Linked DNA regions of Mus musculus. The protein of the gene in region 1 interacts with the protein of each later gene in a pairwise test. Links are inferred from orthologs where the notes say so. Each region holds a gene or a part of one and is shown on either strand. Other genes may lie near its edges.

Region 1 (5,766 bases):
AAGCATGAGGACCTGAGTTCGATTCCCAGAACCCACCCAGGAGTGTACACTTGTAATCAGAGTGCTAGGGAGGTGGAGACAGGCAGGTTCCTGGGGCTGGCCAGCCAGTCTAGCCTACTTAGTGAGCCCCAGGCCAGGGAGAGACAGTCTCAAGAGTTAGGTGGTTCCGAGAAGGGAGTCCTCTCACCTCCATACACCCGAGCACACACCTGCATACCCCACCACATAACATAGTTGGAGTCTGACCTGAACCTCGTTCATTCATTTACGCATCTGTCAATGGTTGACCTACACCTTGTACGGAGTTCTGTCGGGCACTGGGATAATGGAGGCAGATGAAGCCCCTGGCTCTCAGGAACTTGTTTCCTCAAAAGTCAGGGAAGGAAAAAAAAAAAGTAAAAATAAGCAAACCATGGACTCCAAACTCAAGTGTTTGAGAAGCCCTCACTATTGAATCAGAGCTCTGAGATTTTGATTTCCCAATGAGGTTTTTTTTTTATTATTATTCATTTTTTCCTCGTGCCTTGGCCCTTCTTTTGGTCAGACTACACACACACACACACACACACACACACACACACACACACACTGCACACTGTCGAAGGCTACAGAAAGCCCACCCACACAGGCACATCCAAACACACATACTTCTCTAATCTCCCCAGATCCTCTAAAGGCTGGGGGGTGGGGGCCTGTTGACTTTCCACTTCAGCATTAGTGCAAAAGTCAGGCTGGGAATCTGGGGAGCAGTGATCGGCCTGACCTCCCTCCAAACCCCTCCTCTGGGCTAGTCCTGGGGTCCCCTCATCTCCACACCTGGCTTTCCCAGCTGCTGAGAGGTACATGGGTGTGTTGAGCAAACATCCTTGCAACTTCCTGCTGCTCCCCTCTGAGACAACAGAACCCCCCTCTCCCTGCTCCCCCTCTTCCTCCTTCCCACACCTCCCAGCTGGGGTTTCTCTGGAATCCTGAGTCAGTTCCCTGGAGAGAAACCAGAGATATCCCTTTCTTCTGGCCAGAGGAGAGAGATAAGACACGCACAGACCCTCTCTCTTTCTGTTCTTCCATGCCAGTTATCTGAGTCCAGACTCTTTATTGCACGCACAGGGCTGAAAGGACCATAGGGTGCTGCAAGAGAGCTGAAGAACAGTCACTTGGGAGCTGTGGGAGGACAGAGAGGCTGGAGGAGAAGCCCTGCACCTCTGGGGAGAAGGACCACTGTTCTGTTCTAAGGGGGCCTCTAAAGTTGCATAGGACTCATCTCAATAATAGGAAGAAGGCCTCAGAGGTAGGCCAGCACTGGTTACCTGCAGGCTGCCTGCTAGACTCCCTGGGTTCTGTCTTCTCAGTTACAGCCAGGAGAAACTGGCTTTCCCTTTTTGGTTTTAGTGCAGTGGGGGTGGGGTGGGGCACATGGAGTCCCCATGTAGCTTTAATGGCCCACATTAGGGATTTTTAAGGACACTGAAGACACAAATTTCCATCTTCCAAGTAGACACATCCTTCCTATCCTGAAGACCCAGGGAAGGAACAGGACTCACTCAAAGTCACCCAGCAACTCCCAGCTGAGCGTTTTGTCTCCTTCATTCAGTGCATGGAAGAAGTCAGGTCTCTTCCTTGGCAGGCCTTAATCTACATCATCTTTATGTTAATTAATTAATTAATTAATTAATTAATTTTGGGGGGTTTTTCAAGACAGGGTTTCTCTGTGTAACCCTGGCTGTCCTGGAACTCACTCTGTAGACCAGGCTAGCCTCGAACTTAGAAATCCCCCTGCCTCTGCCTCCCCAGTGCTGGGATTAAAAGTGTGTGCTACCACCACCTGGCTATGTTAATCTTCTAACCAAGTCCTTACAATAATGCTACAGGGAAAGATGCTCTCCCATTACAGATAAGGGAATCAAAGCCCTGAAGAGCATAAGTCTATGTGAACAGCTCCATTAGCTGGTGGCAGAAGCAGAGGCAGATGTAGAATTTCCATGTTCTAGCCAGGAGAGGAGCCCTCTCCTCCTGGAAACCTCTTCGCCATGACTATCCAACCCTGGTCCAGATGAGGGCTGTGGCCCCAGCTGGCCATTCCCTTCTGGTGTCCCACTGCGCATCAGGAATTCTTTCCTGCACTGGAGCAAGGCCAGAAGAGCAGCTACAGAGCAGAGCAGGCTGCAGCGTTCATTGAGAAGAAAGCCCAGCTCAGTCGGTCCCCAGCTGCACTGTCCCTGGAGCCTGGGCCCCAACAAACCTCTTTCCCTCTGAGCAGAATCTTTTACCTGCTCCAAGAGGGCTATGTGGTCCCTCAGGAAGCTGTTGTTTTACTCCTGGGAAGCATCTAGAACCATCCTTAGGAAGCACTGGCCCGGTTTCCCTCCATTTTACAGATCAGGTAATGGAGGCCTGAGGGGGAAAGAGAGACACGCATGGCCCAGGCTCACAAGGGAAACAGAGGCAGGATGAGGGTGTTGCCACTTCTCCTAAGACTAAGCATCTCTCCTAGTTCCTTCCATCTGATGTAGAAGACTAAGACTTGAACAACCTCCCTCAGACAGCAAGGCCGGGACATGCTGCTTGAGAATGCCTGGGAGATCTGTCACCCCATGACTCCCTAACTGATGGAGACGCGAAATCAAGCTGAGCAGGACACTCAATGACATCTAAGGCCTTTGTCTGCTTAAGTTTTGTTAGAGCAAGAGGTAGAGACAAACAGGTGGGGAGCCATGTGTTTGGTCTCTGGTGTGTGTGGGGTGGAGGGGTGTGCAAATGTGGCTCATTCCATGGTGGGGGTGGGTTCCCAGAAGATTCTCCAAACAGCCCACGTTTCTTCAGGATGAGCCCCTGAATCCTGCCCCCCCCCCCCCCCACCGCGTGTGCGTGTGCGTGTGCGTGTGTGTGTGTGTGTGTGTGTGTGTATCTGTCTGTCAGCCATGCTCCTCCTCCATCAAGTCTTAGGGCTGAGCCCGAGTGAAAGAGAGTGAAAGGAAATAAGAGAGAGCCACGTTTCCTTAGAAAAGAAGGGGAAAGGAGTGAGAAGGAGGATAACTTCACAGCTAGGAGCAGTCATGAAGCCACAGGGAGAGACAAAGTTAGCAGAACCACAGGGAACTTAGGGACAAGAAGTACAGTGGCCAAGAGACTGATAGGAAAAAAAAAGGGTCTTCTGAGACGTCACCCGGTGCTTCCCTGTCCCACCACCCCCTACTGCCTTCCCGGGAGGGAGGCCAGAGCAGGGTTCTTCAGTTTCTGGGTCTGGCTCTGTATCTGGGTCTGCCTCTGACCCCCTAGAAGCTTCGGGCGTCTGGCCTGGGAAAGCACCCCTGTGCGCCCCCAGGCGGAGATACAGCCCCAGAGCCACCGAGGCCCTAAAGAGGGCGCAGGAAAGAGCTCCTCTACTTTGCGCCCAGTCTGGTTCCAGAACCTTGGGGTGGGTGGAGGGCGGATGGAAGACTATGGCTGACTATGCCGCGCGCGGGCTGTGGGGTTTGGGGTGAGGATTGGTGTCTCGTTAGTTCATGTCGAGATTCAGAGGCCCCTTACGCCTCCTTGTCCCCTTCCTCTAGAAGCCAGAGGCCAACGTGTTCTTGGATTGAGTCCCCAGGAGTGGTGTGGGGCGAGAGCTGCGAGCCTACTCTCTAGGCTCCTGGTCTAAGAGGGGCGTCCAAGGAACTAGTTGCCCCATCTTAAAACCCTAGCACGTGTCCATCCAAGGGACCCTGTGCTGAACCCCCTCCTTGGCTCTTGCGGGTCTTTGCAGGGTTCCAGGCGCTCTGCGGAGAGGGGTGAGAGTTGTGTGCAAAGGGGAACCGAGACCCTTTCGTTCTTACCGCATTGTTGAGGAAATCCGACTCATTCAGGTCTCCCAAGTCCAGGAAGCTGGATCCCGGGAACAGCCTGTCGGCCGGGAAAGGTTCCAAGACGGCGTCCATCGCGCCGGGTTCCAGGGGACCCCTTCGGGCTGCGCTTTCCTCACTCCAGGGCGGCGGCGAACCCCGCACCGGGCTGCGGCTGGGCGCGGGCAGGCGGCCCGGGGGGCAGGTCCGGGCGAGCCCCGGGGGAGGAGCGGTGGGGGTGGCGCGGGTCGGGGGCGCTGGGGGGCCTTAGGGCAGCGGCGCCGAAAGCACCGTGGGCTTTCAGCCGACTCCTCCTCCTGCTCCTCCCGGGGCGCAGCTGGCTTCCATGGGGAGCCCGGGGGTGGGGCCGATGCTGGAGGAGCCCCCCAGGCCGGGCGGGAGCCAGGGGCGGGGGAGCTCAATGCTCCCCCGAGGATGGGTGGCTGCCGAGTCGCAGAGATCTCTCTGGGTCTCTTCCTCTGCGCGGCTTCTGTCACTTTCCGGAGTCTGAAACTGGGAACCCGGGGCTGGTTAACCCAGCTGGCCCGGGCGCCACGCCCCCACATCAATATTCACGATAACTCAATATTAATGAGTAGAGGGCGTGGCTGGGGCTTCGTCGCCTCTCCTTTAAAGAGACGTGTGTCTGTTAGGTTTCCTTGGCTGGCTCAGCTCTCTGAGTGCTCAAATAAGGGGGATAAAGGCAAAATTATCCTGGAAACTGTAGGCTTCGTGAAACCTGGACGGCTTGTGATGGCTTTACAAGCCACGATTCTGTAAACTGAGGACTGACTAGGAAGCCAAATTCGCCTAATTCTCCTTCTTCTTCTTCTTCTTCTTCTTCTTCTTCTTCTTCTTCTTCTTCTTCTTCTTCTTCTTCTTCTTCTTCTTCTTCTTCCTTCTTCTTCTTCTTCTTCTTCTTCTTCTTCTTCTTCTTCTTCTTCTTCTTCTTCTTCTTCTTCTTTCTTCTTTCTTCTTCTCCTCCTCCTCCTCCTCCTCCTCCTTCTCCCCCTTCTTCCTCCTCCTCCTCCCCCTTCTTCTTCCTCCTCCTCCTCTTCCTTCTTCTTCTTCTTCTTCTTCTTTCTTCTTTCTTCTTCTCCTCCTCCTCCTCCTCCTCCTCCTCCTCCCCCTTCTTCCTCCTCCTCCTCCCCTTCTTCTTCCTCCTCCTCCTCTTCCTTCTTCTTCTTCTTCTTCTTCTTCTTCATCTTCTCTCTCTCTCTCTCCTTTTTTTTTTTTTTTTTTTTTTAAATAGGGTGTCTATGTAGGTCCGGCTGGCCTGGAACACTCTCTGTAGACCAAGTTGCCCTCAAACTTAGTTTCCCCCTTGCTTCAGTCAGGTGCACCACAGTGTCAGGCTTTTTTCAGTTTGATATTAAACCCTGGATTAAACCAAAGTCAGGGAATTCTATCCTCCCTGGGTTGGGGAGATGACGCAAGAGTCTGTTCTTCCAGACTCAGAAAATACCTTTCCACAATGGTGTGTGTGTGTGTGTGTGTGTGTGTGTGTGTGTGTGTGTGTATGTGTGTGTGTATGTGTTCACATGGGGAGGGGCAGGGTCTCATGTAGTGTTTTTGTTGCTATCTATCTATCTATCTATCTATCAATTATCTATTCGTTTTTTGAGACAGATTTCTCTGTGTAGTTAGCCCTCACTGTCCTGGAACTCGCTCTGTAGACCAGGCTGATCTCAGACTCACAGAGATCAACCTGCCTCTGCCTCCGGAGTGCTGAGATTAAAGTCATGCACTGCTGCCTGGCATCACACCCAGCTTTTGGTAGTGCTGGAGATCACACCTGGGGCCTTCTGCCTCTCGGCCAATTGAGCCACATCTCAGTTCTTGACTTGCAGCTTCTTTATTTAGTCTTTATCACTGAGCTCTCTCACTCTTGGCTTCTGTGTCTCCTCCCCTGGGAAGCCTTCCTGGAAGGCCCAGATGGGAGCAC
Region 2 (6,000 bases), on another chromosome or scaffold:
GAGGGTGTGACACACAGCACAACAGTACTGGACTGAGCCTTTTGCTTGTTGTCACTGATGATTAAATGGCATTTCCCCAGTGGATGAAGAGAGAAAGCAGGGAGGGAGAGAGAGAGGGGGGGGGGGAGAGAGAGTCTGCCCGTTGAGAGGCTCTGAGAAAAGGCAGTTTGGGGGCCAGATACTCACCTGCTAGAAGGACCAACAGGCTCAGAACAACCTCTTGCATGTCAAAGCCTTGACCTAGAGGAGTCCAGAAAACAGGCCTAACCTCAGCAGGGTGACCAGGATGTAAGGCTTTGTACCTCTGTCTCACCTGTTGCTCACCAGGAACACAGCCCAGGGTACACACAGGAAGACTGGCAGTGAACCTGAAGCTCACTGGGCAGGAAGATAAGAAGCCCCAAAGTCAAGTGGGGGCTGGGTGAGCATTCAGGTTCCATGAAGGAACAGGTCCTATGTGCAAAGAGGCCATTTTCCTGGCAGTGATATTAGGTTTTACTGTGAATGGATTTTTTTCCTTGAGAGAGGAGGTAGAACAGTGTTTTGCTATGTCTAAGATGGCCTTGAATTTGCCACCCCCTGCCTCAGGTCTCCAAGGGCTAGGATTATAGGTGTGCACCATCAAATCCAGCTTGTTAGCCCCATCTTACAGATGGGAAAACTGAGGCTCTGATACAAGAAAGTTGATGCCCTGGATGACTTGATCCAGAAAGCAGAATTTAAACAATGCCTCTTTCCCAACTAGCTGTTCATAACTCAGAACTGTGAGGGCCCCGGGGTGTTTTGGGGAAGAGGGTGCCAGGAGCCAGGTGGCAGGAGGCCCGGGTTCTGGGAGTGGCTCGCACAGACAGCTTGGAGCCTGCCAGGCTCTGCCCACACACTGCAGGCTTCTAGCTGAGGCCTGAGCTGACCCCCTGGGCTGCTGGGTGCGTGTATGAGGGAAATAATGTCAAGCTGGTGGGATATGTCCAGAGGGACCTCTGTCTTCTGCCCCACCCCTGGGTCTGTCCCTTGAGACCCCACTGAGCGTTCTCTGCAGTCCCAACTCTACTCCAGTTATTGCCCCCTACCCTAGCCCTCACTCTGCTCAGCCCCTGCTTACTCCTCCCCCCAGCCCTCTTGACAGCAAACACTACAGGTTCTCCAGTGAGGCTTAGCACAGAGCCCTTTCCATACAGCCCTGGCTGTGACCATCTGTCTTTCTATCACCCTGGAGGCCTGTAATAAAAGTCCTGCTGCCTGTGAACCTCCCCTGCTTGCCCTGCTCAACTGTCCTGAGCTCGTAAGCACGTGTACACACACATACACACACACACACACACACACACACACACACACACAAACACTCATCCCGGCTCCCCACCTGCTGGACACTGTCCAGTGACTTTACAGTGACTCCTCTCTTTAATCCCCAGCAGCCCCAATGTCACCCTTCAGAACTAACCTTTTTTCATTCACACCAAAGCACATACTTGGGAATGGAGCCACCAGTCACCGATGGTGCAGGGGAGTCCCACATGCTCACACAGACGTTGCCATTTCTCTGGGACCAATCCCAGAGGCCGAGAAATCCTTCAGCTTCTTTAGTAATCTAAATCAATGCTACAGGTTTGCCATTCAAGTAACTAGGGAAGCCGAGGCAGGAGAAATTCTACTTCCAAGCCAGCCTGGGATACGACTAAGTGCAAGGACAGACTGAACAATTTAGTGAGATATTGTCACAAAATAAAAAGTTTTTTTTTTTTTTTAAAAAAAAGGATATAAGATACAGCTCAGTGGTAGAGCCCCTGCCTAGAATCCCCCAGTGAAGGGCTGGAGGTGTGGCTCAGTGGTAGAGTACCTGCTTAGAATCCCCCTATGAGAGGCTGGGGGCGTGGCTCAGTGGTAGAGCCCCTGCCTAGAATCCCCCTGTGAGAGGCTGGGGGCGTGGCTCAGTGGTAGAGCCACTGCTTAGAATCCCTCAGAGAGGGGCTAGCAATGGAGGCTTGCTTAGCCTGCTCTTCAGGCCCTGGACTTAATTAACACTTATCACTCACACACACACACACACACACACACACACACACACACACACACATACCATGCACACACATACCCTGGACCCATTTGTTTAGATTAGACATATATTTCTTGTAGTTGATTTGGGGACTATTTCTCAGATGTCTAGGGCCCCAGCAAGCTTTGGGGAGCTCCAGTAGTGGTTAGGGGTCTCAGCTATGGATGCTTGTGGTCTAAGGCTGCCCCCTGATACTCTGTCACACATGCATGGGTTGCAGCTGAGTGCCCAGCCTATGCGGCCATTTTTCTCAGTTCCAGCCTGACTCCCTCATACTGTCTTTTCAGCTTGATGAAGCTGACACTGTTCTTATCCCACACAGCCATCACATGGGAATTCATCCTAACGCTGTGTGCTCTATCAATATGGCTGCTGAATCTCACCTCTTACACTTCTCTCTCCAGACTCTTCCAAGACCCCAAAGGACCACAATCTCTGAGTGAACCAGAGTGGGAGCCAGCACAGAGAGAACCAGCCTTGCTGGGACACTAAGCACCCCTCATCTGCTTCCTGCCTGTGCTAGTCAGAGGGCAGCTTCCGTGTTTTCCCCTACTCCAGGACGGTGGATGGTCATATCTGCAGGGTAGGATGCATACACCCTTGTCATCTGAGTCCCCATCTCCTAACCAAGTCCCGCTTTACAGCTTCCCTGGATCAGACTTCTCTCTCCTGGTGTTCATCTATCTTCCTTGTGCCCTAATAATACCTGGCCGCTCAGACACACACCTCCATCTGCTTCCTCCCCCCAGGGCACTTAAATTACTCTTCATCTACTTAGTTACCCCTAGACACCCCTCTACTCTCATCCACTGAGAAACCCTCAATCACGATATTACGATGTAGTCACTTCCTGTACACCCTGACACCTCAGATACCTCAGGTAAACCCAGACTTCTCATCTTCTCAGACCTCCCCCAGGCTTCCCCAATCCGTCTATGAATATCAGGTGAGTCCCCCCAGTTGTATAATCCAGTCCCACAGAGGTGAGCCATCTGGGACAATCAGCTGACAGAGGCGGGTAGTCTCCTGTCCCCATAAAAGAATCTTTAAGCAGGAAAGTTTTAGGGGTCTTTAACCCCAGTTTCTATGTAATAGGTGCAGTTAGAGGAGAGTTAGAGAGAGTGGGGGAGCAGAGGCTCAGGGAGGAAGGGGCCCCCAAGGCCACTCACCTGAGTAGCTCAACAGGCTGAGAGGTGGTTCCGGGAGAAAGCAGAGTATGGACTTGCCAAGCCGGGACAGCCTTTATCCACACTGCCACGCCCTGAGCAAACCTGGGCAGGCAGGCACAAGTCAGGTCTCCCTGAGGCGAGGGACGCCCCCACTCCATTCCTCCCTTAAAGAGACAGTTCTACTCATTCTTTAACTATAGTAGCCTCAGGTAAAGTGGAAGGGGACCAGGGTGGGCTGAGGATTGGAGGGAAGAGGGTGTGTCTGATCTCCCAAACATCAAAGGAGACTGGGAACGGGGAAGATTCTGGGGTCCTTAATGACAGACGCCCATCATCCTGGAACGATGTGGGAGAACGTGGAACATACATGTAATCTGTTTCTGATTTAGGTTGTAGTGGGGGTGGGGCTTTTTCTTTATTTGTTTGAGACAAGCTCTCACTATGTAGCTCTGGCTGGCCTGGGAACTCACACTACAGACCAGGCTGGACTTGATCTTGTTGAGAGTCACCCATCTCTGTCTCGCAGGCTGGGATTTAAGGCATGCACCACCAGTTGTTGTTTTGTTTGGGGATGCACCCACTGGCATTTGTAGGGAACTAAAGCCCACTCTCCATTCTGCATTCTTTGTTGGCAGGGGTTAATAAAAGACACTGACAAGGCCAAAGTTGTAATAGGAAGAAGGCACTCAAGTGGTGGGTAGAAGTTGGGGAAGGTCTGGTTCTTGGGGTTCATAGACCAGGCCCCAGAAGACTGAAAACCGAACTGACTTTCAACGTTTCTCTCAGAGATGAGGAGATGTCGGGTGGACGTTCAATCTACGGAGTGGGTGTGGGCATGGATGTGGATGTCAAAGTTGTCTTCCTCTACTGCAGATGAGTTCCCTGTACTCTACAAGCCCCCACCCTTCCCTGCCCCCTGTCCAAATGGCACTCCTTCCGCCTGGGGTCTGTAAGGCTCCCACATGGTCCCTGCTGGAGGTGCCCCCTCCCCCAAAATTCTTCCTCCTTACACAGAAGAACTTTTGTCCGGGGTCTGGATGGAGAACAAGGCACCATTGAGTGGCTGGCAGAGGATTGGGGTCACCGGGAGGGGCAGGGCCAGGAAAGGGGTGGCTTCTATTCGGCCACCAGCTGGACTCCAGACGACCCCCAACACTATGGTGAAGGCGGTAGGGTGGAGACCCAGAGGCACCAGGCTTGGGAGAGGTTGCTGTTGTGGGTGTGGAGAGGAAAGTTTAAGGGAACTTAGGGCCAAGGGTCTGTGGGGCAAGGAAAAGGACTCCCCACTTCTCGCCAAGGCCTCCCTCCCTGATGTAGCTCACTTAACTATGATAGTCTGTGTTCCCTGTTGGTAGCTCCTGATCTTCAGGCCCTAGCCAGGACAAGGCATCCTGCCTCCCATAAAGGAGCGGAGCCCTCCCTCAGGGCAGTACCAAAGCAAGAAGCACAGCTAGAGATACAAACAGAGGAAGGACAGGCCTGGCAGTGGTCTGGCCTGGGATGGAGGGAAGAGACTTCCAGGTCCCCTTAGGGCATCTTTGTACCTAGCCACATCTTCCAGAAGCTCGACTGCCTCTGGGGAAAACATCTAAAACCCTTGGTGGTCCTAAGAGTAGGAGAGTGTCTCCCTCTGCTGGACATCATAGAACTACATGCATCAGAGAGCAGGAGCTAGGTGGGGTGGGAGTGGGAAAGCTTGGGTTTCTGTCCTTCATCCCTCCTGGGTGTGCACCCAGATGCTAGAGGGACCAGGTGAGAATCGCGAGCAGATTGTGAGGCAGGATGAGTGTGAGAATGACTATCTTGTCTAAGATAAGTGGCACCCTGTGGTTAGATGTAAGCAGTCTTCAGTCTCCTTGATAAGGGACCAAAGTGAGGTGTGTGAGGTGTATGTGTGGAGGGGGGTGATACCACTGTGGCAGAGAGACAGTGTCTGTGTGTGGTGTGGTGTGGAGTGGAGTGTGTGTGTGTGTGTGTGTGTGTGTGTGTGTGTGTGTGTGTATGTACTTGTATAGGGATAAAATATCCCCAGAGAGTCACACCCATATGGAAGAAGACAGAGGAGAGATCGGTAATCCCACTTGTACTTTGACATTTTACCTACTGAGAAATGTGCTGTTTCTTAAAAAGCTTACGTGAGGGGGCTGGAGAGAGGGCTCCACAGTTAGGAGTGCAAGCTGCTCTTGAAGAGGACGTGAGTTGTGTTCCAGGAACCCTCAGCGCCACAACTGCTTGTAACTCCAGCTCCCAGAGATCCGATGCCTCTGGCCTCTGAGTGCACCTGCACACACATACAGCATACCCTCTCAAAGACACACAATTTAAAATAAATTTTAAGTATGTTTTAAAAGTTTGGTTGAAACTGTTGAGGTGGTAGGGCAGTCTGGTACATACCTGTAACCCTAATATTTGGAAGGCTGAAGCCAAAAGAGTTTGAGTATGAGTCCAGCCTGGGCTACAAAGCAAGTCATAGGTTAGCCCAGGATATGTTGCAAGATCCTATCTCAATTGTTTAAAATATTAGATAAAATAAAATAGTAAACTAAAATGAGCGTACAGTCATTGTTCAGTGTCTACACATATTGCCAGGATGCCTTGAATGCTTGGCTATTCAAGTCCTTTATTTGCAATGCTATAGTGTTTGCCCAGAACCTAGCCATGTCTGCTATGGATTTAAAATCACCTACACAGTACTTGTAACACTCAGTACAGTGGAAATGTTAGGTAGAGTTGTTACTCTGTATTCAACAATACAGAGTTGTCCTGGCAGTTGTG
Region 3 (5,750 bases), on another chromosome or scaffold:
GTTTTTTTATATTATGAGATAAGCCTGAGATTTGGAGAAGGAGGAGTGAAAGTTTACGGTTATGGCTTAAAGCAGTGTTTGTCAAATTTATAAGTGATAAGGTTGTTTTGTGTTGCCAACTTTACACAAACCTACCCACTATGGGAGGCAAGAGACCCTGAACTATACACAAGCAGAGAAAGAGAAAGAACTGGGTATGAGCACACATTAATACATCCTGCACTCTCGCTCTTTTTTAAAAGATTTGTTTTATTTATATGAATACACTGTAGCTGTTTCCAGACACACCAGAAGAGGGCATCAGATCCCTTTACAGATGGTTGTGAGCCACCATGTAGTTGCTGGGAATTGAACTTAGGACCTCTGGAAGAGCGGTCAATGCTCTTAACCGCTGAGCTATCTCTCCAGCCCAACCTGTGCTCTTTACTGTGGATGTAGTGACAGCGCTCTCACATTCCTACTGCTCTGACTTCCCTGCCATGATGTCATGACTGTCAGTTATGTTTCTATTGAGGTGATCAGACACCATGAACAGTTAAACTCAGAAAAGAAAGCATTTGATTAGAGGCTTGTTTGCACTTTCAGAGGGTGAATTCATGACCATTATGGTGGGGAGTATGGCTGCAGACAGGCAGGTGTTGGAGTAGTCACCAAGAGCTTATATTTTGAAACAATCACCAGGCAGAAAGAAGAACAGGGCCTGGCATGGGCTTTTGAAACCTCAAACCCATTCCCGGTGACTCACCTTCAACAATAAAAGCCAGACCTCCTCATTCTTCCTAAACAGTACAATTGGGAATCAAACATTTAAATATATGCGCCTATGGGGACCGTTATTAAAACCACCGCAGACTATGACCTGAAGTGTAGGCCAAATAAATCCTCTTCTCCCTTAAGTGGCTTGTGTATTTTTATCACAGCAACAAGAAATAAATCTAAGACAGGGACATAGATCCCCGGTGGGATCCACCATGTCTCTGACTTGGCACCAGAACACTAGATCCTTGAGGACTCCCAGTAAAGGCAGACCCTCCTGGCTAGCTGCTTCCCAGCTTAAATGTGGGCTTGGCAGTCCCTGGTCAGTACACATTGTTTTTTGCTCATACTGCAGTAGGGCTGAGAAAAGGGTTCAGACATCCCCTAGGCAGTGGCTATAGGGTAATGGGAAAGAGAACACGCCCCTGCACCTTTTTTGTTTTGTTTTGTTTTGTTTGTTTGTTTGAGACAGGGTTTCTCTGTAGCCGTGGCTGTCCTGGAACTCACTCTGTAGACCAGGCTGGCCTCGAACTCAGAAATCCACCTGCCTCTGCCTCCCAAGTGCTGGGATTAAAGGCGTGCGCCACCACTGCCCGTCACCCCTGCACTTTTATCAGGTTCCTAAAGAGCTGAGAGCTTTCTCACAGATGTTCCTGGGTAGTAGAGTGTAGTTAAGGAAGGGGGAAATGGGAGAGAAAACATAGATTTTTACCTCCTGGCTGAGTCACAGGGACCACCTACATAAGTTCCTAGGTTCTTGTGTCTCAGGACAAAGAATTGTATCAGAGATGCATAGTTAGCAATAGAGGCAATTTACTTAAAAAAAAAAAATTTACAAAGACACTCAGGTAGGGAATGGGCTAGTGATCTGGAAGAATGCATAACCTGAAGTCCTTAGCCATTACCTGCCTTCTCCAGGCCAAGTTTTTCTCTTGCATGCTGTTTGTTATTGAGTAATCCAGGCAAGGAAGGGATCCCAGGCACTATCAACTGGCATTGATTGATTGATTGATTGTGTCTGGGTGTTTTGTGCACTACACGTGTGCTGTGGTCGTAAGGCCAGAAGAGGGCGTCAGACGTTACTGCAATAGCTGACTGTTGTTAGCTACCACGTGCCAGAAACTGATCCACAGTCCCCTGAAAGAGCCGTTAGTGCTCTTAAGTACTGAACAATCTCCGCAGCCCCCTCATACCTTATTCTTGACGTCTCTCTACACATCCCTATTCTTTTGCCACACTTGCATGTGTTACGAGTTTGGCAATCGGAGGCGGAGTTGCATATTCAATTTGAAAACCAGGAACTTTATAGAAACCAGACAAGCATAAAACCTGACTGGGAGGAAAAGGCGTTTTAGGGCAAGCACATCTACAGACCTTCAAAATCTCTGGATTTGTCAGCCGGGCAAGTTCCGGTCAGGAGAGGGGGGCAGTTGACGCCGCGGAGGCAGAGGTAACCTTCGGACTGAAGGTGCACGAGTTCTGGTCTGCAGATGGGAAAGGAGAAAGGTTAAGCTGCTCAAGTCATTGTAAAGTGTGAGAACTGGGGGACTCAGGCCCCCAGCGGCCGAAGCCACGGTGAAGGGCAACAGGGCCGAGGCCAAGGGTTGGGCCTCTCAGGCTGTGAGGGCGGGATCGTCGCGCGAAGCGCTCTGGGAGTGGTAGGCGCTTTCTTTCCGCTCTCCTTCAGCCACTCGTTCTGGGAGCCCAAGGACGTCCAGGCGGTGGGCGCAGCGACTCGCACTTTGCGACTTGAAGACTCTTTCCTAAGGCGGATCCCACCCCCTCGCCCTCTTGCGCGCGGCAGCTTACAGCAGGCTTCCGGCGTGAGGTATTGTGGGCAGTGTAGTCCTTCTCGCAACCTCCCACCTCGTCCGCGCGGCTCACGGGACTACGTTTCCCTTCGGCTCCCGCGCGCCCTGAGCCGCGTCGGCTCCAGCCCCCGACGAACCGAGAGTCTCCAAGATGGCCGCGTGGGGAAGGAGGCGTCTGGGTCCGGGCGGCGGCGGCTCCCGAGAGAGGTAAGCTGGGCTCGCGACCGCGGGCGAAGGTCGACCGCAGAGCCGGCGAAGCCTCTGTGCCACGCGCGACTCCGGATCGTGTGCCCGCCACGCGCGGGGCCCAGTCCGCGGGGGCTTAGGTGTGGGAGGAGCGGGGCGGCGCGACGGCCAGGAGCGAGGGGAGCGCGACTCGGAGGGGCGGCGACCCGCAGCCGGGTGGGCGGTGAGCCAGGGTGAGTAGCTGCGAGGGCCGCCACGCTGTCCTACCGAGCGTCCTGTGGGCTCCGGGCCGCTGGCTCGCGCACGTGGCCCGCTCGGCCTGGGCGCCCGGTGTGGCGTGGATGGGCTCCGGGGAGAGGAGGAGGGTAGAGGCTCGCGGCGCCGTGTGCTTTATAGGGGCGTTTGCTGAGAGCGGCAGCGTGCCGGGCGCGCCTCCAAGAGCCTGAGCCTGGCCGCCTTGTGAGCGAGCAATCGTCGCCACTTTTTGAGGGTTCTCTTCGAGCACTTCTGCCCTAAGTCCTTTGTAGTGACCTTTCCTACTGAATGCGTTTGGGGGCGCTAGGGGTTTTGTTTCTTCCAGTGATTTCCGGATGACAAGAGTAGTTGACGTGTTTCGGGTTGAACTTGTAGCCTTTTCCTTCTGGGAATTATTTTTAGCTAATAGGTTACTAGAAGCTGTTCAACGATAAGAAGTTTGGGGAGGTGGGTGTATATCGGTGGCGCTACTGGATTAACCTGCCCAGTCGGTCTTGCTAAGTCCTCCGCATTTTACTGTGGATGTCAGAAAAAGGAAAAGAAAAAAAAAAAAAGCAAAGTTTGACTTTTTCCCCTCCGTTTCCAATGAGTACTGTCAACCATAAAAGTTGTGTCTCAACTAATCTGCGTTGTTCCTTTTTGACTGACGCATCCCATGTTTCTTGCTATTGCATACGACAGCTTTTCCATCCCACACTAGTCTTCCTGCTTGGCAGAAGTGGTAGCCAGTTTTACTCCTGAGTTCGGTTATGCTAAATAATCCGTTCTGCGTTTACTGTGACATGGAAAAGCAGTGGCGAGGAGTGTTTGTTTGTTTGTTTGTTTGTTTGTTTTTTCCCTAACTCCCACTTATTTCTTAGATAAGAACAGCCAGAGAGGTTATCTTGTTTTCCGAGTCCTTAAATCCCTAAGGATGCTTTCAGGATTTTAATTTCAGCCCAACAGAAGGGAAGAACTTTCCTAATATTTCTGTTTGCTTGTTTTTAGAGCCACGTGTGTAGAGTCATTAGAGTTACTGTGTAGCTCTCTCTGGCTGTTCTGAAACTCACTCTATAGACCAGGCTGGCCTTGACCTCACAGAGGCCCGCCTACCTCTGCCTCCCAAGCACTGGGAATAAAGGTTTGGGCTACTGCACCCTGCCATACTCTTGTTCTTGGACACAGACTGAAAGGGCCAAACATGCATGCCTCAAGTGTGAGACAGGAGTCTTGCTAGCCTACCTAAGAAAATGGAGAATTTTTCCTTTGTCTTGAAACAGATATTAATTAAAAGCAGTTTGTCAACCAACCGCCCATAGTTTAGTCCAGGCCTTGCTGGTTGTGCTGCAGCAGCCTTTAAGGGAGTTTAAGTCCAATGCAGACAGAACTCACTGTGAAGCTAGATAGGGAGTGGTTCTCCTCAGAGCCACTGGTGCTTGTTTCTCACTGAAGTCTTAACTAGGTAAGGTTATCGTCCTGGGTCCTGTAGGTGTTCAGGTTGTGACCTTTGCCCAGGAATTGAAGGTTCTTCCCAAACATGCAGGTGCTGTATGTCTGCCAGGGATGGGCGTCTGATTTTATGATTTGAGAGTTGCCATCTGCCCTCCTTCTGGTGCCTGGAGGTTACTCCTCTGTCGGCCTTTATGGGAAGGGCCCTTCCAGAGAGTTCATTCTCAGAACCCCATCTCCGTCAGGCCTCCCACTCTAGGCTGTGTGTGGAAACACACTCCCTCCTGACTAGCAGACTGACTTCTGGGCGCACCTCCATTGCTGCTTGGTGGCCTGACAGGATGGAGCAGACCAGAATAATGTACACTCAGCACCCATAGATTGTGAGCACCAAGTGTTGACTCTGTGACACAAGCTGTTTGTGCCTTCTAAGTGACTCTGTTCCGTGTCACATTTGGACTGACTCAAATTTCAGCTTCATGTTGAGAGAGAGCACTTCCAGAGTTCTTCACACCTTCCTGCCCCTGCCCTGTGCTGAAACCAAAGGGGATGCTGTGTGCTTTGTGGCAAGGCTGGAATGGGCAGTGCTTTGAACAGACACTGTGTTTGCCAGTGGCTGCATACTCTGGTGCATATGTTATATTTAAGGCCCCACTTTGTGCTGGTTGTCAGCTTAGTTTGCAGTGGTTCTTGCTGTGCCTGTTAAGTCCAGAAACACAGGCTAGTACTAGAGCTGAGTGACAGCAGTTCAGTAGCTGCTAGCCATGTGTGGCGATTACATTGAAGTTAAAATTAAGTACAGTGAAAAGTGTAGCTCTCAGATAGTAGACCATGTGTCTGGTGTCCAGTACTTGCTTTGGGCTAATGACTAAGCCTAGAGAGAAGTTTTTCCATCAGTAAAATAGATAGGAACAATTCTGATCTAAACTGAGATTGGAGGGGGAAAGGAGCAAACAGAGAGCTGCTTGTGTGTTGATTCTTCTCTCCACTCCATTAAATCTAGGGAAACAACAGTATTTGTAATGAAGAACGTCAAACTCTGAGCTGTAACCTGAATTCTTGTCCAAAATTGAGCATACTGACAGCAAGCACAGCAAACAGATTGCCGTTTGTCCTGCTGGCCTCTTTGAGGCACACTTATCCATCTAGGAAAGCAGAGCAGGTATCTGTGTTCTACCACCTGGGTGTCAGCCTGGACCAGCTCTCAGACAGCCCTGCTTGGCCTTTCATGGCTTACTTGGTGCTGCTCAGAGCTCCTGAGCATCTCTGAGATCTCCATGAGTGTTGGAATGTGAGTATGGCCCTGTACTCTGA
Region 4 (6,021 bases), on another chromosome or scaffold:
TCCTTCCCCTTCTGTCCTCCCCTCTCTCTCCCCTCCTTCCTCTAAGATTTATTTATTTATTTTATGTATATGAGTACACTGTTGCTGTCTTCAGACACACCAGAAGAGGGCATCGGATCCCATTACAAATGGTTGTGAACTATCATGTGTTTGCTGGGAACTGAACTCAGCACCCCTGGAAGAGCAGTCAATGCTCTTAACTGCTGAGCCATCTCTCTCTAGCCAGCCTCTTCTCTCTCTCTCTCTCAATTCACTCTGTAGTCCAGGCTGGCCTTGAACTCAGAAATCCACCTGCCTCTGCCTCCCAAGTGCTGGGATTAAAGGCATGTGCCACCACTGCCTGGCTCTCCTCTCTTAATAGGGGCACAAAGATATTCACCATGTAGCCCAGACCAGCCTCAAACTGATAGTCGTCCTCTTACTTCAGCCTCCCGGGCAAGCACCACCACTGCAGACAACAGGTTTTAGTAATTTAGCTGAAAGTCCCCAAACGTAAAGTAGCAATCACACAAGTCAATGATGTTGCTGTCTCCCCAGCCATTGACACCAAGTTCCAAACGTGTGCATTTCCCACAAAGAAACCAATGCCTACTGGGCACTTGTTTCTTGTGCCAACCCAGCCCTGCCCTTCCTCATGACCAGCAAGTCCCTTAGGTCCCTCAGAAGCTGCCTTTCCTGAACACTCCCTAGCGGGTCAGAGCCTGTGTGTGGCTGGCTTCCTTCCTGGGAACCCTCCCTGCCTTAGAGGTTTGCCAGCCTTACGCCCCACAGTAGTACCTCTTCCCTCTTGCCATGGCTTTGAAGGAGAAAGTGCTCTCATGACAGCTATGCGCCAGGGGTGGGAGCAAGGGGGGCATTCTCTGTGTCTGGGAAGTTCTTAAACAGGACCAACCAATGTTTCAGAGTCCATCAAGTCTCCCATTATAGTGTGGTGGCTGTCCCAAAGACATACCATAAGGACAGGATCTAGGGACAGGACACTGGACCCCAGGTTTCTACTCCCACCCTCTAGCCGCCCTGGAAGGCAAGACTATCTTTATGCTCTGCTTCACTAAGGGGATCAAAGGGAGGGCCCCCTATTTCCATCCAAAGTCACAAAACAGGACAGTCACCACCCCACTTGAAACTGAAGGAGAAAGTTGGGCCAGGGACCTTCCAGGGACTTCTTGGAGACTGCCCAGTTCCTGAGTCACCCACACAGAGGGGTGGTAGACAGGCAGGGGTGGGGCCCATAAAGCTGAGTCACCCCTCGGCTAGACTGAGCTGGGCAGGAGATCAGCTCAGGGTGGAATCCCAGGATAGTATAGAGTGCAGGACGGAGATACTCAGAGGGGCAAAGCCACCCACTCACCCTTTATTTCGGTCTCTTCTAGAAGACATGTAACATCCTAAGCTTCACCCTGTCACCAGCTTGCTCAGGGTCCTTGGGGTGTTCCAGGAAGGAAGGACAGAACACCAAGACCTCCCTGGAAAACTCCACCCAGGGTTGTGACTATCAGTTCAGGGACCACTCAGCTGCTTCCTCTAGGGGAGGAGGAGATGGCTACCTTTTCATTTCCAGAGAGCATCTTGGACAGAAGAATAAGGACTAGACAGAGGAGAGTATGGTAGTAGGCCTTCTCGATGGTCACCACCCCAGGGCCTCAGTAAAGGAGCCAAGCCTTACTCAAAGGCACTCACTCACTCAGTCAAACCTTCATGTACTCCCCACAGCAGCCACAGGGCAGGGGTCAGCCACCTCTCTTTGATCCACAGTCCCCAGAAAGGGTTTATTGCTAGTGTCACCTTCCAGGTAAAGAAACTGATATGGGGCTGGAGAGATGGCTCAGGGGTTAAGAGCACTGACTGCTCTTCCAGATGTCCTGAGTTCAAATCCCAGCAACCATACAGTGGCTCACAACCATCTGTAATGAGATCGGATGCCCTCTTCTGGTGTTTGAAGACAGCTACAGTGTACTTACATATAATAAATAAATAAATCTTTAAAAAAAAAAGAAGGAAAGAAAGGAAAGAAAGAAAGAAAGAAAGAAAGAAACTGATGGGGAAACTGTAGAACATTCCAGGTTGGTATCTCTACATCCACAATGACACTCGGCCACTCTCGGTCACCTTCCCTTGGGATACAATGCCCTGGGCAAGGATCAGGTCCACAGGCTGTCTCTCTTCTCAGTGTCTGATGGACACAGGCCAACAGCATCGCCCTCTCCATACTTAGCACCATCACTCCATAGAGCTTCGGGCCCCACCTCTTAGTAGGACAGCCAGAAAGGATGCCTGAGCCCTCCTTCTCCTAGGCTGCTATCTGTGAAGCTAGGTCAGAGCCAATGGGCCTGGGGTACCTGTTGCCCTGGGGCTTCCCTAGAGACTATGACCCAGAAACAGAAGGGAGCCGGCCACGCCCTCTTCCGTCCACTGCGTGAAGCTCCTCCCATCCTTGAGCTTTCCTTCCAGCAAAGCCGTTTCTGTCCCGAGGAATTTTAGGACTTTTTGTTTTTAACGAACTTGCAAATCCTCCTTATACCTTTTGCCAGCTTTTCTCATTCTGAAAGTAATCATCGCGCCAGCAACAGGTCAGTTAGGACCGGCAGGAACTGGTCACCATGAGGTCTGGGGTGTGGGGAAATGGCGTGGCGGAGTGGCAACTTTATCAAACAAAACTGGCTTTCAAGGCGCCGCTTGCACAACCCCCTAACAAGGGGAACACAAACAGAAGCCGAAAACTCCGATCAGAGAAAAGCTTAAAAAGCAAGCCTGCTGTCTGTCGGCCTCACCCCTCAGGTACCTACCACTATCAAGAGTTTCTAGACGCTGGCGGGTCTCAGCCCTGAGACGGCCAGGCACACACACGCAGTACCCAAGTTCACAAATCACTACGCAGGAGAAGCGTCCACACCACACATGCAGGCTTTGATCTCAAAGCAGGCTTAGGCAGCTGCCGCTCAAATCCTGGCTCCTGGGCTTTGCATAGTCTCGGTTTCCCACGGATCCCAGAACTCCTCTGCAGGGGAAGCAGGATTCCCAGCAGCCAGAGGCTATCTCCTCTTCCCGCCCAGCTGCCTCCAGCTGCAGCAGCCAACTCCTGCCTCACCGAGGTAGGCACAGGACATTGGCCGCTGTCCCCAAAGGCCAAACACCCTCAGCCTCAGCAGCACATCCTCGGGAGGAGTCCCTCCCGCTTGGACCTGGCCTCAGTTTCCCTTTTGGCTCCCCGCCGTCAGGGTCTCACGTACCCACAGCCCCGCTCACGCAGTCGCTGGTTGTTCCGTGAAGGACACTGCGCACAGAGGTTGGTAGCCGCTGACCCCGCCTCGCCCCGCCCCGCCCTGCGCCGCACCCGGAGGCACCCTGCCTTCCCAGGCCCGCCCTCAACCAGGCACCCCTCTTTTTTTCTCTCCTCATCGTGGGCCTGGACACAGAGGGGAGAGATGCATCGCAGACAGGCAGACAACGAATGCCACAGAGGTGGCACATGTTTGTATTTCACACCGAGACAGGAGGATGACAGTGAGCTCGCAGTCAGTCTGAGCTGCGTATTATATTCCCCCCCCCCCCCCCACTGTGCCTGGCTGAATTCTACCTATCATCTTATCCGTATTTTGTGTTTTTTGTTTGTTTGTTTATTTGTTTGTTTGTTTTAATGAGGGACTTGGGATATAGTTCCATTGTGGAGTACTTTCTGTGCACGCAAAGGCCCCTGAGTTTCAATCCCCAGCACTGCCCAAAATAAAGGAAAACAAAACTAACCGCTTTCTGCCTCTTGTGTTAGTAAGGCCCTAGGCGCTATGCCTGGCCACACCCACTTGCTGGCAGCCCTCAACCTCTTCCTGTGAGTCAATTAGAGTAGGCTGGCTGGGCAAGGAGCCCCACCAATCTGCCTGTTTCAACCTCCTGGGCCCTGGGATTATAACTGTGTACTACTATACCCAGGGTTTTAACACAGGTTCTGGAAATGAAACTCAGATCCTGGTGTCTGCAAGGTAAAGGTGAGCATGCGACCCACTAAGGTATCGTCCCAGTCCCGGGCTTCCTGTTCTTAACCAGCAGCACAGCAGCCGAAGGCGGTCTGATTGAGACATCTCTCAGCACACCTCTGCAGCCTTGCCAATCCCTGCGGCAACGGCTCTACATGCCTTGTACGTGCCTACAGCTTTTCAGTCTCTCTGCGCCCCTCTGGCGTACCCTTGTCTGCCTCCTGGATAGGTTTCACGTCCTATTGTGTATTTGCAAAGGATTGACTGTCACCGGGAAGGGGGAGAGGGAGCTGGGGGAGGGGATCTATGGTGGAAATTTAGTCCCCGTTGTGAAGAATCAAGAGGTGAAACCAAGTGGGACCAGGTGGACCTTGAGGTGACTATGTCCCAAGGATTCACGGTGTGGCCCCTATCCATTCACGATTCATTCAGGAATAGATCCATCGGTTATCCTGAGTGTAGGTCTGGTATCAAAGCCAGCCAGTGCAGGTTCTCGGATAGGGCCCCTCTTGTCAGATGAAGCCCTACATCCCTTGGATTCTGTAGAGAGTCTCCACCAGCAAGGAGGCTCTTGTGAGATGCAGCTTCTGACCTTGAACTTTACAACCCTGAGGACGGTAACTTGTACTCTATATAAATGGCCCAGTATGTCATTCAGTGATAGAAACAGAAAACTAACTGAAGCATCTTCCCTCTCAGTGGCTCATTTTGTCTAGGTTGGCTAGTCCTCCTAGAGCTCTTGCCAGAGTCCCTCTGTCCTTCAGATCCTTGGAAGTGGGTTGTGGTCCAGCGGCCTCATGCTGTGTGTTATGACATCAGTATGCAACTGTATACATCTCTGGCGCACTCGACTGTTGTTGCTACTACCTTCTTGCTACAGCCTGTGGATGTAAATTTGGGCTGCAAAGATTTGAAATTTTACAAGCACAGCCTCCTATGTGAGTTTAAACTTAGTCCACTGAGCCAGCAATCAAAGGACCTGACCTTTTTATTTTTTGTTTTACACGTGTGGGTATCTTACCACATATATGTATGCGTACCATGTCTGTGCCTGGTGCCCACAGAGGTCAGAAGAGGGCCTTGGACATCCTAGAACTAAAGTTAAGAGATGGTTGTGAGAGCTGGGCGTGGTGGCGCACACCTTTAATCCCAGCACTTGGGAGGCAGAGGTAGGTGAATTTCTGAGTTCGACATCACCCTGGTCTACAGAGTGAGTTCCAGGACAGCCAGGGCTACACAGAGAAACCCTGTCTCAAAACAAACAAACAAACAAACAAACAAACAAACAAACAAACAGATGGTTGTAAGAATTGAACCCAGCTCCTCTGGAAGAGCAGCTAGTACTCCTAACTGCTGAGCCATTTCTCCAGCTCCCATTTTTGTTTAATCTTTATTTTTGGAGTCTCCTGTATAATCCAGGCTGGCTTTGAACCCATGATCCTGACTTCTCAAGTGCTGGGGATACAGACATGCACCATCATGCCTGGCTTCCACAGCCCTGACAGTGTGGAAGGCCTCATTGTTACTTTTCAGACCTGAATTTTTTTTTTTTTTTAACAGTTTCTCGTCTTTCGTTTCCTCACTTCTCTTTCTGGAATGCCTGTCACTCAAGGCCCTGGACTTCCCGTGTTGCTCTTCTCGCTCTCTGTTCTTGCTTAGTTCTTCTGTTTCCCTTCTTTAGTCCTCCCCCTCCCCCCAGTGGTTTCTTCTGGACTCCACTGAGGGTTTCAATTCTGCCCAGCCGTTTGCTGTCAATCACTGCCCATTTTTATCTCAGAACCCCACTGTCCTACCTCCTGAAGAGATCAGTGATATTCTTTTAATTACCTTTTTGTAACATTCATTTATTTTGTACATGAGGTCAGTGGAGAGCTTGCCAGATGTGGTTTTCTCCTCCCATCATGTAGGTTCCAAGGACCAAATTCAGGGTTTCTGGCTTAGTAGCAAGCACCCTTACCCACAGAGCCGTCTTACTGGCCCTAAAGTTAATATTTAAAAACTGTTGTTTTCTTCTTTCCTCAGCTTCCAAAATCTATATGTTAGCTTTCTT

What was found.
Region 2: the proteins of Creb3l1 (region 1) and Fxyd3 interact in binary tests that used the Homo sapiens proteins (3 or more experiments, as listed by UniProt). The two-hybrid records come from large-scale screens. The link is inferred for Mus musculus from reciprocal best matches to the Homo sapiens genes CREB3L1 and FXYD3.
Region 3: the proteins of Creb3l1 (region 1) and Tmem11 interact in binary tests that used the Homo sapiens proteins (3 or more experiments, as listed by UniProt). The two-hybrid records come from large-scale screens. The link is inferred for Mus musculus from reciprocal best matches to the Homo sapiens genes CREB3L1 and TMEM11.
Region 4: the proteins of Creb3l1 (region 1) and Tspo interact in binary tests that used the Homo sapiens proteins (3 or more experiments, as listed by UniProt). The two-hybrid records come from large-scale screens. The link is inferred for Mus musculus from reciprocal best matches to the Homo sapiens genes CREB3L1 and TSPO.

What each region holds. Positions count from the first base shown.
Region 1 is NC_000068.7:92,020,189-92,025,954, forward strand, and holds the start of Creb3l1 (cyclic AMP-responsive element-binding protein 3-like protein 1), read right to left. Parts: upstream 3,983-5,766; 5' UTR 3,918-3,982; coding exon 3,816-3,917; intron 1-3,815.
Region 2 is NC_000073.6:31,073,396-31,079,395, forward strand, and holds the start of Fxyd3 (FXYD domain-containing ion transport regulator 3 precursor), read right to left. Parts: upstream 3,303-6,000; 5' UTR 3,226-3,302; intron 241-3,225; 5' UTR 227-240; coding exon 187-226; intron 1-186. UniProt on the Homo sapiens protein: Associates with and regulates the activity of the sodium/potassium-transporting ATPase (NKA) which transports Na(+) out of the cell and K(+) into the cell.
Region 3 is NC_000077.6:60,875,737-60,881,486, reverse strand, and holds the start of Tmem11 (transmembrane protein 11, mitochondrial), read left to right. Parts: upstream 1-2,448; 5' UTR 2,449-2,718; coding exon 2,719-2,774; intron 2,775-5,439; exon of another isoform or gene 5,440-5,713; coding exon of another isoform or gene 5,714-5,727; intron 5,728-5,750. UniProt on the Homo sapiens protein: Plays a role in mitochondrial morphogenesis.
Region 4 is NC_000081.6:83,560,854-83,566,874, reverse strand, and holds the start of Tspo (translocator protein), read right to left. Parts: upstream 3,303-6,021; 5' UTR 3,231-3,302; intron 1-3,230. UniProt on the Homo sapiens protein: Can bind protoporphyrin IX and may play a role in the transport of porphyrins and heme. Promotes the transport of cholesterol across mitochondrial membranes and may play a role in lipid metabolism, but its precise physiological role is controversial.